2 linked regions of the Struthio camelus genome follow. The protein of the gene in region 1 binds, or shares a complex with, the protein of each later gene. Links are inferred from orthologs where the notes say so. Each region holds a gene or a part of one and is shown in the gene's direction. Other genes may lie near its edges.

Region 1 (7,714 bases):
TTTGGACTATAAAGCACCACCAACGTTTTTAAATTCTTTTGACTGCCTCTGACAGAGCTATTCCTTTTTCAGGTAGAGATATAACTGGGAATAACGGAAGAGCACAAGGAGAAAGACACTTACTTACACATTTGGAAAGTGTATCCCATCTCATTCTAAGAACGTGGTCTGAGGCAGCACGAGTGATTGGAGAGAGGAACATGAGTATTGCTACAGGACAGCGAAGCGCTGGCTTGGAAAGCATTAGGAAGCATTAGGAAGGTTACTACTTTTATGTGGAGAATTGACATTAGAAATTTCATGGCACATATGTGAGGATTTTGAAGAAAGATGAGAAGTTATGCAAGTGATTTAATGGGAAAGGTTTAAAGAGAAGGCTTTTGAAATTTTATGGATTAAGAAGTGAAGCAGGGACATTTCCATGAAAAGGTGGTAGTAAGATTTCACTGAATCATAGTGATTTTAAGCAACAGCGTTAATAATAGAATAGTGCAGAAATAAGTACGTAGATAGGTTAGTATCAAGTGTGAGAATCGTATGAGGATTATACAGCAGGTGAAACTGAAGCAGCTGAGAGGGTAGATTTAATGGAACACTACTGGGGTGATTTCTCTAAATTTTGCAAGAGTGATAAAGCAGGTTCTGAAACAAGCACGTAACTGAAAAAGTTTGTATTAGGAGAAGAAACATTAAGAATGTTGACTGAAGGAACTTCAAAGGGCATCAGATACAGGAAGTACTAGATAGGTGGATTTAGGGGAAGAGTTTCATGGAAGTTCAGGTAAGAAAGACACAGATGGGGTGAAGTCCAGAACGGAAGGAAGAGTATGCGTATGTAAGAGCTAGACAGGCAAATATAGTAATCTCAACAGAGTTTTTGGGGAGAGCTTCCAAAGATGCTGAAGAAGGTGACAGAGAAGTAGTGTTTTTGTACAGAGCATACAGCATGGAGGTCAGCAGGTATTAAAAAAGTTGGGATAACATGCAAATAGACTTTGGCTAGGAACTCGGATGTTGTCCTTAGTTTGCTCAGCCAATAATACAGTGTTATTGGGTTGACCGTTTAATTTTCCATCCCTTGAAAACTGCCACTTGATAGATTATGGCTCAGATAGCTAAACTCGTACACAGAACCTTAATAAGATTGGGTAATTTGGTGGAATCTCTATCAGAAATCACAGAAATATTGAACTGCTTGCAACCATTCAACAAAGGATCTGGCTTTAAAGTGTCTGACCTCAAAAGGCACTTCAGTTCCTCAAGATTTTAAGAATAAATGATGTTTTTTATTCTAAATTGAAAAAAATGGAGTGTTTGCTTTTTGCCTGGCAAAGGAGATCTAGACCATCCTACCAAATCCTAGTAGTAATTTTACCTTTAGGGGAGAGTCTCATTCCACAATAATGAGTATATAGAAAACACTACTTTCAGGCTTAAGGTCCTTTGTCATTCTGATAGTTCTAAACGTGGCTAATAAAATGAATTGTATTTCTAGGCCTTAAAAATATCCCTAAGAATTTTTTAAGAAAAGAGAAAAGTGCTGTTCTAAAAATGTTTGCAACCTATTAAGCTGTTCTCAGTTGTGGCTGAGGAAAACATGCAGGGTGATACTTAAACTATTTGGGACTTTATCCCTGAAAGCTCTCCAGCACAGACAACCTTATTGAGATGCAAACATCTGACAGTCAGCATTTTTGTAGCGGGCACTTAAGCCCAACCTCACTCACCACAACATAACTTCTGTTAATATATAACAGACTGTAAAGAACACAAAGCCTTTTGGCACTGGGAAAAAAAAACCCAACATTTTTTTTTACAGGCACTAGGAAAAAAAAAAAATCTAACAACAATGGCAGATCCAGCTAAAGCCCAGCAGTAGCATCCCCTATGCTTAATAAGGGTGGCAGAAGAGATGCCAAGTGGGCCAAACACATTTAAACCTTGCTGATAATGGCTGCCACATTGAGAGGGGCTGAAGCAGCAACTGGGAAGACCCAAGGTAATGGAGAATTGAGATTAAGAACTAAAATTTATTGCTCTATTTCTCCATAGACATAACATATTATAAATAACAACTTTCTGATCTGACCCTTTTAACACATTTTTGGCCAGATGTGCTCCTCGTGGGGTATACTAATGAGCGAGGACACAAATACTGGTACTGTCACAGCTATGTTGATTCTCACAAGAGAACTTTGTTGTATAAAAGGCAGTATTTGACAGAATGGGAGAAGTACCTTGCAGACAACTATTCATCTGAATTTTTCTAAATTATGTTTCCTAAAAATATAACTGAGTAGTTTTCTAACTTTAAAACTCTACAGGTAAGAATTCAGGGGCTCTGGGGCAGAGACCTTGATCAAAATTCTCGTTAAGTCAACTTTTTTTAAACACTTGATCTCCAAGTAGAAATTTGATCAACTTTACTAATTTTATATTGTTGAGTATTAAGAAGTATTAGAGTTAGTAAAAAATTACATTACAGAATGTTTTCAACATTTACTTCCTGGCTTATTTTGGTGTTTTCCCTCAGCTTGAAAAATAAGAGGTTTCTTCTGCACCAAGGATCCTGGCATCTGAACTTCCTTATATGCAAACATATAAACCCCCTTTCAAAACCACCCTCTTCACCAAAGAAAACCCCAAACCCAAACCAGAGTAGAAATCAGATATGAATTAAGTGAAACGAATGATCACCAGAAGGGCACAGAAGGCTGGTATGGTGAGGGAGCACCAATTACGGTACAAAAGAACAGGACAGAGAGGCACATAAGGTCAAAGTGGTAAGTGGTGTGCATGAAGTAAGTCTGTTAGTTATACTGCTGGCTACAGAAAGGTTAGAGTCAGGCACTGGGGACTCCATTCTACTAGATGTTATACATGTATGTGTATATATATATTTTTATATATATATATGTATATATATGTTTATATGCACAGTGTAAAAAGAAACCAAAAACGTCTACAGAGTTTATAATCTAAACTACTTGAGGGTTTTATTAACCCAATGGACAAATTCTGAACTGAATCTGAAAGAGAGAGAAAAGTGAGGAATAACTGTGAGGAGGAGAGGCAACGGGCAGAAACTGAACCACAGGAAGTTCCATCTGAACCTGAGGAAAAACTTCTTCACTGTGAGGGTGACAGAGCATTGGAACAGGTTGCCCAGAGAGGTGGTGGAGTCTCCTTCGCTGGAGATATTCAAAAGCCGTCTGGATGTGATCCAGGGCAATGTGCTCTAGGTGACCCTGCTTGAACAGGGAGGTTGGACTAGATGATCTCCAGAGGTCCCTTCCAACCTAAACGATTCTGTGATTCCGTGATTCTGTGATATGCTCCCAGCTACATAAACCCAGGTTTTCTGGATTTCCTGTGCCTCTGACATAAACTTGTATCTTGCTCTAGCCCACTTGCCTGAACCTACTGCAAAAGTAGCACCTACCCAGTCCTTCATTCCTCTTAGTGTACTCCTCATAAATCAGAATTAAGCAAATGTTACTGAAACCAGTGATTTACAAAAACAACACAATCAGTTTCCAGGGTTCTATTATGATATAGCGAGTTCAGAAAAAAACAGGGCACGTTTTCCATGCAGGTTTTGTCATTTGACCGTTTATACCAATCGAATGAAAACAATATACTTAAATCACATTCGCTGCACGTGTGTCTTCCCTAATACTTAAGAAAGTCAGCTTCCCGAGCCGAAGACTGTATTATTTACAAACGCTACATCTCTCAAGCTTTTGCAGAGTGACAGAAGGAAATCCCTTGTTTCTCGTCACACCAGGAGAGCCCAGGCTCTGCCCCGACCTCGCGCCTGCAGAAACGAGGGAGGTCTACTCAGTAACTTCAGTGCGCCCACCAGAGCTGCAGACAGGAGGAAGCTGTTACGCTGCGGGAGTGATTAAGTTCAGACTCTTCCCGGTCTGAAGGTGTACCAACCCCGTCGACCAGCACAACACGCAGCGATCCTTACGTTTTCAGCCGCAGCACGCACCGCCTCCTCCCTGAGGCACGCACACGCCGCACGCTGCCGAGCGCTCAGTTTAACGCGGCGCAGCTCCTGAGGGCGTTTCTCCCTAAACACAGCGTTTTCCTAACGACAGCTGAAGTCAAAAATTCACGAAGTCGGACTTCCGACGTGTTATTCGGGACAGCGGGAGGCAGCGCCGGCCGCACACCCGCCGGCCGCCCCCCCCGCTCACCAACGGCGCAGCGCCGGGCCGCTTCGGCCGCACCTTCCCGGTAGCTCCTCACCCCAGGCCCGCCGGGACAAAGCCTGCGGGGCAGCTGGGGCGAGGGCACGGCGGGAATCGCCTTCACCGGAGGCTTTTGGACAAACGCCGCTGCACGGGAGCGTGGCCTAAGGCGGCGCGGCAGCCCGCCCGGCCGTTGGCCGTTGGTTGGCGGTTGGCCGGCGGTTGGCGGCGCCCCCAGCCCTCGCCCGCTCCCGCGCCGCCCGCCTCGCCGTTGGCAGCGCCGGGGTGGGGGTCCCCCTCCGGCTGCGCTCACGCCGGGGCAGGTGGCAGCACGGCGCTGCCGCCGCCGGCGGAGCAGCGGCGGGCGGCAACCGGCGCGGCGCGGTCAGGTCGCAACGCGCACCGGGCTGGGCCGGGCCGGGCGGGTCGGAACCTCCGTGCCGGCCCTCGGCGCGCGCCCCATTGTTAAGGGCCATCTCGGCAGTTTCCGCCCTCGCTTCGGCTCTGTCCGCGCCGCGATGGTGGAGGGCGGGCGGGCGTAGAGGGAGGGGAGAGGGAGCTCGCGAAGCCTCGGGGCCGCGCCGCTCCTTCCGGGACGGCGGGAGGCGGTGCTGCTCACCTGGTGCCGCCGGCGCTGGGGACCGCCTGTGCCGCGGCCCCGCCGGCCGGGAGGTGAGCGCCGGGGCGCTCCCCGCGCGGGCGCGGGGCGGGGGGCCGCCCCGGCAGGCAGGCGGCCGGGCGCCGGGAGGGGAGAGGAGGGGAACCGGTGCGCGGCGGCCCTTGCCGCGGGGGGGGGGGGGGGGGAACGAGGCGGCGGTTGGAACCGCGCGCCTGAGGGAGGGCGCCGGTGGCGCCTCGTCCCGGGGTGGGGTGGGGTGAGGGGGAGCGGCGTAGGGGCTTGCGGGGAGGCAGGACGAGGACGGGCTGCGGCGTGGATGTTTCACGGCTCCCCTTTTGTTTCTCTCCAGGGTGTTTGTGTTTCTGCGAGCCCGTCTCCCCGCCCCCGTCCCTCCCGCCCGCCCCGCCGGGACCTCTCCTCCCCGGGCAGCGGCAGAGCCGCCTCAGGGCGGGCGGCCGGTGGCAGAGGTGCTGCTGGGGCAACCTCGCCGCCTACCCCGCCGCGAACATGGCGACCGGTGGCTACCGCAGCGCCGGGGGCAGCACCACGGACTTTCTGGAGGAGTGGAAGGCCAAGCGGGAGAAGATGCGGGCCAAGCAAGCGCCGCCGGGCCAGGCGGCGGCGGCCGGCGGCGAGGCTAAGCCGCTGGGCGGCACGTCCTCCGCCGAGCTGAACAACAACCTGCACCCCGGCGGCCCGGCCGCCCCGCCCGAGCGGCCGGCGCCCTCCGCCGGCGGGGCCGTCCATTGTGTCAGCCTCGCCAGCGCCGCCTTGAGCAGGGCCGCCCCCGTCAAGGAGCCGCTGCCGGCCCTGGCCGGGGGCCGGGGGGCAGAGCCTGCCGCCAAGCCCCCTCCCGCCGCCGCCCCGGGCTCCCCGGAGGGCGAGGAGAAGCTGGCCGCCAAGGGGAAGAGCGCCGGCCCCAGCGCTAGGAAGGGGAAAGGGCAGATCGAGAAGAGGAAGCTGCGGGAGAAGAGGAGGTCGACAGGTGTGGTGAACATCCCGGCCGCCGAGGTGGGTGAGCCCGCGGGGGACGGGCCGGCCGGCCGGCGGCAGGCACGGAGGGAGGGAGGAGGGCGCTCGCCCGCCGCCGCCGCACCTGAGCCCCGGGCGCGGCGCGCGGCGGGAGGCGGCTCCCGGCGGGCTGCCCCGGCCCGAGCGTCGTGCCGGGGCCGCGGAGACCCCGCGGAGCCGGGGGCGCGCGTGGGGGCAGGCCGGCGCGCGGGGCCGGGCGCTGCGGGCCCCGAGCCGGGGCCGGGGGTCTGGCTGCTGCCCGCCGCCCTGCTGAACGTGCCTCCCCTCGACGTGGATTCGTTGGTGCGTCTGGGCGAAAACTGAGGTGGTGGAGTTTTATCCCTGCATCACGTAGAAAAACACAGAAGCCTCAGCGCAGTCCCTGAGGTGGATTCTGTGTCACTATAGTGTGCCATCCAAACAGTTGCGCAGTAGTAACTTTTTTTTTTTTTAAAATAAAAGCCCCTCTAATCGAGAGTGATTTGGGGGGAGGGGATGTCTTTATGTTGGCAGAGAATAACTTTTAAGACTACTGGAAGATCAAACTAAGAGGTACGTGCTCGTCAAAATAGGATCAAAACAATAGTAATGAAAGAAAACTAATATGTCAGCTCTGAATAGATGTTCAGGTGTAAATATTATTCAGTTTGGAACCCGAAAGAATTTCCTGCACTGGAAAAAATGTAGTGGTTTAAAGAGCATTTTTTTGAAAGCAGAGGAAGATATTTTTATCAGCCAACACCGCTGTCCTCTGTGGTTTGCTACTAGTATAAAAATCTGGCATTGATTTATAATACTCCTAGAGGAATTCAGAAGAATGATAACCAAGTTTTTAGCTTTTTGCGGTTAATAAGAAAGGCCAGAGGAAACTTTAAACAAAGCTGTGTTTTAGTTTACAGTCTTGCATTAATATTGATGACCAACATCCTTGCAGAAAAAAAACCTTGTATTATCAGTTCTTTTGGTTAACACTGGAGATTATTAAAATGCCAATAAAAACAAGATATGTGTTTCTAAAGCAGCAGCAGCAGATGAGATCCTGTTCTCCGTACCTAAAGTCACTAATCCTTTCTTTGGGACTTAATAAGCACTTTCCCGCAGTCACTTGCATGTGAGAAGATATCGGGAGGGAAGGAATTAATGAGTTCTAGGGAAGGAAGAAGTCTTTAAAATTGTGTTCTTACAGGCTGATCCTGCACTTCTTAATTGAAGTGATTAGTTTCCTTACTTGCATAGTCTTTGCTTTGAGGTGAAGTGTTCTGGTATCGGTCTTGCATCCATCACTTTCCAAAGCAGGAGTATTCAAGTGAGTCTTTTTTTTTTTTTTTTTTTAATACTCGAATTCTAGTGTGTGCAAACTTTTCTAGTCCATGGTTTGTTTATTTTATACAGAACCTCCTAAATAATTCCCCCCACCTCATGCTCCTATATGAGCTTTAGAAATGCTGTATCTTTATTTCCCCAAGTAAACCAGTCATGGTCCAGTTAATACTGCTTTTGCATATGAACAGTTCAACACTTTATTTTAGGGTCTCTGCTGTGCTCCAAATTCCCAATCCCTTTTTTTGAAACTATTGTCCTTTGATAGTTCCTTTCTATCTCTCTCTCTCTCTCTCTCTCTCTGTCTCTCTGTCTCTCTGTCTCTCTGTCTCTCTGTCTCTCTGTCTCTCTGTCTCTCTGTCTCTCTGTCTCTCTGTCTCTCTGTCTCTCTGTCTCTCTGTCTCTCTGTCTCTCTCTCTGTCTGTCTCTGTCCCCCCTCTTTTTTATTTACTTAATTATTATTTTTTAAAGGAACCTTGCTCAAAATACTCTTTGCTTTCCAGGAAAGCACAGTCTTTGCTCAGGAACATTGTGGATTTGTTACTGTAACAACGTCTGCTGCACT
Region 2 (7,456 bases), on another chromosome or scaffold:
AACCCGTTCAAGCCTGGAACTAGTGTGCAAGAAAGTGCAAGACTGTGAGACAACCCTCAGACAAAGAAACTCACAGCTTGCGATGGCAAGGTGCCGCAAGTAGCCCAGCGAGAAATCATGCCCCTCGGGATCATCTGGCTCAAGATGCTGTATCTGATCTTTTTCTCACTAGCACTGCAGGGACAGGCGGCAACCTTGCTTGCTGGGAATAAGCCTAAAATGTAGGCTACCACATCTGACTCCTTTGTGTGAGGAGATGCGTTTCAGACAAAAGGCGTCTTGGTGAACCTTCTCCTCCTTTGCGTTTGTCCAGCAGGATTTGCGTGACATTAGCGCTAACAGGCTGTACTTCCGCACTGATTCAGCGGAGCGGACGCAGCAGGTGTGGGTAAGCTTCTAACTTCTATTTACAGGGTGGATCAGTGAAGGATCCTTGCAACCATATGGTAGTTGTAAACCTGCTGCGCTCCCGAACTTTAATGCAGGTGCCTCAGTGTGGACAAGAGATGAACCCAGGGAGCGTTAACTGTGTAAGAAAATACCCTGCTGCCCTGGTTACGTTCTCATGCATTTGTGTCCACAACTGGAGGTTACATACAGAGAAGATCGTAAGGAAATCTTGAGCAAGGCTGGAAGTGACGTGGTGACTTTTCATGGAAGAGGAACTGCAGTCTCACATGGAGTGGCAACTCAGTTGGTGTGCCCTTAATTTAACAGTCCTCTTGGGAAAAGGGCAGGAACTACTGCAACATTCCCTTTCCAGGGTAGTGCTGACTGTGGTGTCTGGGGGAGGCCGCACACTCCGACTGAGACGGGTTAGTGGCTATTACAGAGCCAGCCTGAGACCCAGGAAACCTGCATCCCATTCCCCAGGCTGGCAGAGGTCCCTTGCACGTGACCTCGGACACGCCATTTAATCTCTCAGTTTGAAAACAGTAATACTTCTTTACTTACAAGGGATGTAATGTGCTCTTGGCAAGATAAGTGAGTGCACAATGCACCACTTTTTGTTTCTGAAGGTATTTAAATAAGCTCCACACAGAGCACAGAGCCACACTGTAATCTCACAGCAATAAAAGCAGTTGTCAGAGGTCACTCAAAGTCAGTGGACAAAGCAGAATTGGTCCAGCTCTGCCCATGCCTTTCCATTCTTGGATGAGAACGGCCTACGTTTTAATAAGCTCACTCTAAAACATCTTAGGAGACCTTGCTTTTCATGCAACAATGAGACACTTTTGCCCTCTGAAGAACAATTGGGCACCTGAGATCATTAGTTGCTTTTTGATAGTTCAAACACAGAACTCATTATCTGGGAGGAAGGGGTGGAGTGAAATCCCTTTGTTACTTCTCCAGCTCATCTGATTCTGATCGCTTCCTGCAGGAGAAATGGATGACAGCTCATAGATCCGTCTTGACTTGTTGATCCTTTTAGTGCCGAGTACCCTGGCACGGGTTTAGCTGAACATGAATGCCTCCACTTCAGTTGCTACAAGAAGCTGGCCCAAAGTTTAGCTCCTGCAGGCCACCTTCTCTCCACCCAGAACGCAGTAAGGTTAGGTGAGCCAGCAGTCCAGGCTGAAGAAATCATGTCACACCTAATGCCTTTTCTCCCTGCTCTCTGCTTTTCCTGCTGCCTTGGCAGGGGCCTAACCTTTCGTACCTTGCTTTCACCCTTCAGGCCTCAAGAAATCGATATCTCCAGTTCTGGGAGGCAGCTAACATCGCTGTAGTGGAGTCAGCAGAGCAGCTGAATTCACAGGCAGATTAAAGCCTGCTGAGTTTCCTGCACAGTTCTCAGACCTCATTAACATCTTTCTTGGACTCAGTGATGACATGCCTCTGCTGCTGCAGAAGGTGCTCACGCTGTGCTGACCCTTTAATACACCCTGGGGAGCGAGCTGCGGCGAGACGGGCCAACGAGAACCTGCTTTCAAAGTCTCCATAAGCGAGAGCCTGGGATTCCCGCAGGATCCTGGCTCTGGCTATTGCTCTGTTATCCCTCCTGGGGCGCAGCAGATGTGCAGGGGAAGGTCTCAAAGCAAGAGGAAGTTTCCCCATCTGCATCTCTAGGCATCAAGAGCTACTGCCAGCCCACTAATCAACAGCTGCCTCCCCTCTGTCTTCCTAGATTACAAAGCCACGTTAGCCTTTGCCCCACTCCCACCGATGAGGTTCTCACGTTACAGCAGCCTCCCAACTTGGCAGTAATGAAACAAAGCCTTTAAAGTAGGTGCACTTTAATACGTGTAGTAGAGTGATTTACTGTAAATGAGAACATGGCCCCCAGAGCTCCTGTTCTGAGCAGTTCTGGAGTTTCCCAATACAACACTTCAGTTTGCCTTGCTCTCTGGCTAATGTTTGGGTGGTTCTTTCCTCCAAGATCTTTGGCCTGGGTATAAGAGGCACAAGTGACTCAGGAACAAGTGGAGATCAAATGGGAAAATTCTCCACGGGCAAGGATGGATTTGCACGCAAGCTGCCAGCGCGCTGTTAGAAAGCACTGGAGCTAGTTTGCAGAGCCAACATCCTTCCTCATCTCTCTCGGAGCAGTATTCACAGGGTTTCCAGGTGAGCATGAGCCCACTAGGTTTGGCCAGCTGTCCAAGAAATGGACAGGCAACCTATAGGAAAATCTTAAGGAAGGAGATTTTCACAATACACCTGGGGGACTATTTCACAGCGATTTCTGCTGAAATTAGTGGGAAAAATCTTGTTGACTTAAACAGGAACAGGATGAGGTCAAAGCAAAGTAGCTTTGAAAAAGCCACCCAAATAGATGTATCTGTTTAACATGAAATCTCTCCCATGTCTGTCTTCTGTGAAAGAAGACATTTGTGCAGTGCCTACAAACTCCCTGGTGTCTCTGGTCAGCTAGAGCAATAACTTTAATGTAATGTGCATGTTTTTCGAGTGAACCACAATGGCTGGCACAGAGCATCTATTCCCTAAGGATTTCAAAAGATGCTTAACAAATTAGTGCCTCAGTCCTGGAAAGGCACGAATGCACATGTGGGCAACTTCACATGCATGCATTGTCCCATGGAGTCCGAGAGGAGTATTTGCCTGCATTGGCTGAAGTCTTTTTGCAGGACTGTTTTGGTTGCATGGCCAGAAAGGGGTGAAGGAGAGGGGGGTATACAACAGTCAAGCCACCACACCTTGGCCTTTGCATTACAAAGGCCACGGGAAGTTGCAGCTTCCCCTTTGTTCTGATATTTCAGTGGGGTCAGCGCTGTGCTGATATATCACGCATGATATATCGCTCGATGTCCTGCTGTGACTGACCACCTCGCTGAAGAAGTAACCTAGCAGCGAGGAGCCTACGGCCCCTGGGCACCACACAGCCTGCAATTCCGTGTCAGCCCATCTGCAGACATGCGACTCCCTCCTTGCCAGCACAGGGTATCACTAAGTTGTGCATGAACGAACGGCCCACAAACCATGAGAAAAAGCCTGTTCAGCTCTTAGCAGAGGAGAATCATACCGCCTTCCACCAGCATCCCCAGAGCCCTGGCACGTGTATACGCGGGGGAATCGCCTTCCTCACTGCTTACCTCCCTCCCTCCCTCAGAGGAGCACAGCAAGGAGAGAAACGGCTGAGCACCCCGTCTAATTTAAAGGCAGGTGAGGAGAATGAACACACTTGCGCATTTATGGATGACTCTTGTTTGAGTTGAGGCCTTGTGGTGAAAAGGAACTTCAGCAGAGATGGAAACAAAGCGCTCTGGAATTTGGGACGTACAAATTAAGGCACACAAACGAGCCCAGCTCTTCTTTTCAAACATGTCCCAGGACCATTAATGATGAGAACTGGTCAAGGCCCAACGTTAATGTTTCATCTCAAAAAACAATAACTTTGGCGGCATGCAGGCGCATCGGTTCAATACTGACTCAGATGGCAGGCTGCCACCTCCTGAATCATTCATACCACTTCCTGCAGCTCCGAGGTGGTCCTTGGAGGTATCCCATGCAAAAAGGCTTGCTCAATTTATGACAATTACTAGTTTATAGCTCCAGGCAATATGGCTACAGAATCTTTTTTGCTTGGGAATACTGAAAATGAATCGTCTCAAAGAGACATCGCTGCGTCAGATTTGTCCCTAAATTCGCTTTTTTTTTTTTTGGGGGGGGGGGGGGAAGACTGAAACGATCAGAATCGTTTCCATGATTTATTTGCGTAAATAAATCAGTTCTAAAAAATAAAATAAAAAAACGCATGCTCCCTAGAGTGACCGCAACGCCAGCACTGCAACCCCGGGTCAACCTCTGAGCGGCTGAAAGCGAAATTCACCAGCAAGCGACGAAATCCCGGCCCGTGCCGCCCCGCACCGAAAAAACGAGCGCTGGGAGCGCCAAACCTGCGGCTATTTTTAGCGATTCTTGGAGTGAGAAGGGGCGGAGCGGGGCCGCAGCCGGGGGCGGAGCCGGGCCGGGCCGGCTGTTATTTGGGCCATGTGAGGGGCCGGGCCGCGTTGGCCGCGTCTGGCGCCGGGCGGAGCCGCCGCTCCAGCCTCCCCGCCGCGGCGGAGGCGCGGGTGGGTGGGTGGATGGGTGGGCGCAGACCGGCGCCGCCTTCGCTGCGCTCCGCACCTCTCCGCACCTCTCCGCGGCCCCGGACGCTGCCATGCTCCGGCCGGCAGCCTGGGAGCGGTAAGAGCCGCCGGGGCTGAGGTTGGGGTTGGGCTGGGCGCAGCGCTGCCGGGGCCGCGCCGCGGCGGGGCCACGCGTGAGCGCGGCGCTGGGGGTGGCGGGGGCGGCCGCGGAGCGCGCAGGCGGGGAGCGCGGAGCCCGGCGCGCTGGGGGAGCGGGGCGCCGCTCGCTCCCGCGTCTCGCTGGAGCGCACCTTGCAAGGCTGGAGGAGCACGGCCCTCTCTTCTCCTTTCGCGACGTGAACGTGGGCTAATGTGCGCTAGTTTATATAACCCCGTGTCTGAGGAGCCTAGACTCTGCTACCAGACGAGATTAATCTTGCCGTATCCTTGTGATGGAGTGTAACTTGCTTGCCTTATCTGCCTGAGCAATCAGTGTGGCTGGTGACGGAGAGTGGCTGCAGCTGACTAGAAAGCCTGAGCCATCACTCGGTGTAAGAGTAGGAAGTTTACGAAATGATTGCAAAGATGGCAGCTACTCCCTTAGAGAAATAAATCTCGTTTTTCTTATCTGACAGTGATGCAGGATGAGCGTATGATCTTCTGGTCTCGGAAGCCAGTCTTCCTTTCTTTCTCTCTCCTTCCCAAGCTGCTGTCTGCCTTTACCTCGCAGACCCTGGGGCAGGGGCGCTGTGAAGGCTTCGGTGGCACGTGCAGCTTCGTCTCGCTGGGGGCTGCATGCCACATTTCCAGGAGCAAACTGCCGAGTGTCCGATGATGGCAGCTTCTGAGTTGCGGCTGTAGGATGGGGTCAAAGCGGCTGTCCCGGCGTAGGGTGCGGAAAGCGGCTTCTGCAGCGCGTTGGGAGGGAAGTTGCAGGGAAGGTGATGGAGCCATGCGACTGTTTACAAAAGTGAATGGCAACGCTGAGAGCACTCAGCGGCTCGCGGAGGAGAGTCTGCCGTGTCCAACCAGCTGCTAGTGTGCCTGTCTCCTCCCTGCTCCCTCCGTCAGTATGCCTGGCCTCCGGCCCTGTCGTGGCTCTCAAAAGACTTGAGATGACGGATGTATGAAGTTGTAATTTGTTCTTCTCCCTGTGACCTTTTCTTCCCCCCCCCCCCCCTATTTTTTTCTGAGGGTAAGGGATGAACTTCTGCAGCAGCGTATTCCTCTGGGGGGCATTGTATTGTTGCAGAACATCAGCAGCAGGCTTTTACAGCCTCTCTTCCCCGCTTTAGAGGTTACTGAAGCGCACTATAATGTGATTGGGGTTTGTTTGTAAACTTATGTTAGATACTTCCGAGATGCGGTTTCATGTTCCAGGAACCAGCTAGCTGAGATGTGCTGTGTTTGTGTGGAGTCAGGTCATTGCAGCTAAATCCTGGAAATAGATGTGCTTTGCTTGTTGGTCTCCCCTTCTTTCCCTGTCCCCTTGCATTTCCTTTCTTAGTAGAAGTGAAAGCAGTATCTGTCTTGCAAGGGCTAGTTGAGAATTCATGAAGGCACCTGAGTTAAAAGCCTGTAGATAGTGAGCCAGTCAGGACACAGTTCAAACTGGCTAGCTCTTATATGCCAACACAAGCTGTGCTTACAGTTTTGGGCTGTAGCGTAGATGTACTGACTCAGTCTCGAGTCATTGAAGGCTTGTCAACACAAGGGGAGGGTGGATTAGCTGGTGTTGGCAGGGAGCATCAATGAGATGACCTCAGCTGGGTTGTGCAGCAGTACTCCGTTCGTAACAGCTTATCTTTGTGTCCCATAGAAGAAGGCTCATACTTGTATTAACTAGTAAAGTGATGGTAGCATTATATCATTGGAAAAAGAGCTTACTAGGCCTGCATGGGTTATATTAACAAACTTGGGCTGAGCATGAGTTTCCCTAACCTTGATGTTTCCAAAGGTTGAAATAGGCGGCTGATTGTGAAACTTGCAGCCCTGCTCCTTGTAGTTGTGGCGTGTGACATGACTTAGCAAATTAAGTTGCTGCTACAAGACAAGATAGATACCAGCTGCTTCCAGGCAAAACTGTGTAATGCCCACAGAGTAAAAGTGAGTAAGTGTCTGAGAACCAAGGTTACAAAACTGCGGTTGCTGGAGTCCTTTGCTAGTGGTCATCGTAGAAGGGGTTGATTTCAAGGTGTTGACTCACTTCCAGTTACTACACTACTCTGAGCAACACAAAAAAATCTTCTCTTGAATTACTCCTCCATGTGAGTAATTGCTACATCTGCCACTATTGCAATAAATAATTGCTGGGGGAGCATGGATGCAGTTGTCCTTGGCAGAGATGGGACATGTGCCACAGGAGATATCCAGACTTTAGAGTGCAAATGGGGCAACATAGCTTTCAAGTACTAGTTCCCAAGCACACAGAAACAAAAGCCACTATTAATTTTGTTTTCCCAAAGCACTGTTACCTTAAAAAAAAAAAAAAAGTGGGGAGGGGTTTCCATGGATTCACCCTTAACTCTGCCCACAAGGCCACAGAGTGTTGCAATGCATTGGGAGCTACTGGGCTAAAATAATTTGGCCCATTGGACTGATAACCAGGAAAATCTGTTCCAGCAGACCATACTTCTGGGTGAAGTGATGTCGAGCCTGAAGAAGGTGTCTAACAGTTCTGTCTTGCAAAGACCCAGCAGTCTTGTGAGGCAACTGAGTATGACAGGAGACTGAATGAAATACACCTTGTGCATGGAGGGATGCCTGCAAGGGGGAGTTACAGTCAGTTATTAAACTTAAATGTAATGTACAAGTGCTGACAATGGAGCAGGAAGTCTTCAGGCTCGCTTGGAGAGGAGAGAAAAAAAAAAAACCCAAAACAAAGCTTTGCTGAGCCTGGATAGGACCTGCAGCAATGAGATTTA

The links. The genes of interacting proteins can lie anywhere in the genome.
Region 2: the proteins of PAWR (region 1) and SPSB1 are in contact, whole or in part, in a crystal structure (PDB 2JK9), measured with the Homo sapiens proteins. The link is inferred for Struthio camelus from reciprocal best matches to the Homo sapiens genes PAWR and SPSB1. Residues at the interface, in NP_001341661.1 of Homo sapiens: Glu68, Leu69, Asn70, Asn71, Asn72, Leu73, Pro74; in NP_079382.2 of Homo sapiens: Arg77, His78, Pro79, Val80, Ala81, Gln82, Gly110, Thr111, Tyr129, Val216, Trp217, Gly218.

What each region holds. Positions count from the first base shown.
Region 1 is NC_090942.1:45,220,226-45,227,939, reverse strand, and holds the start of PAWR (PRKC apoptosis WT1 regulator protein), read left to right. Parts: upstream 1-4,691; 5' UTR 4,692-4,871; intron 4,872-5,167; 5' UTR 5,168-5,325; coding exon 5,326-5,829; intron 5,830-7,714. UniProt on the Homo sapiens protein: Pro-apoptotic protein capable of selectively inducing apoptosis in cancer cells, sensitizing the cells to diverse apoptotic stimuli and causing regression of tumors in animal models.
Region 2 is NC_090962.1:5,493,091-5,500,546, forward strand, and holds the start of SPSB1 (SPRY domain-containing SOCS box protein 1), read left to right. Parts: upstream 1-4,414; 5' UTR 4,415-4,650; intron 4,651-7,456. UniProt on the Homo sapiens protein: Substrate recognition component of a SCF-like ECS (Elongin BC-CUL2/5-SOCS-box protein) E3 ubiquitin-protein ligase complex which mediates the ubiquitination and subsequent proteasomal degradation of target proteins.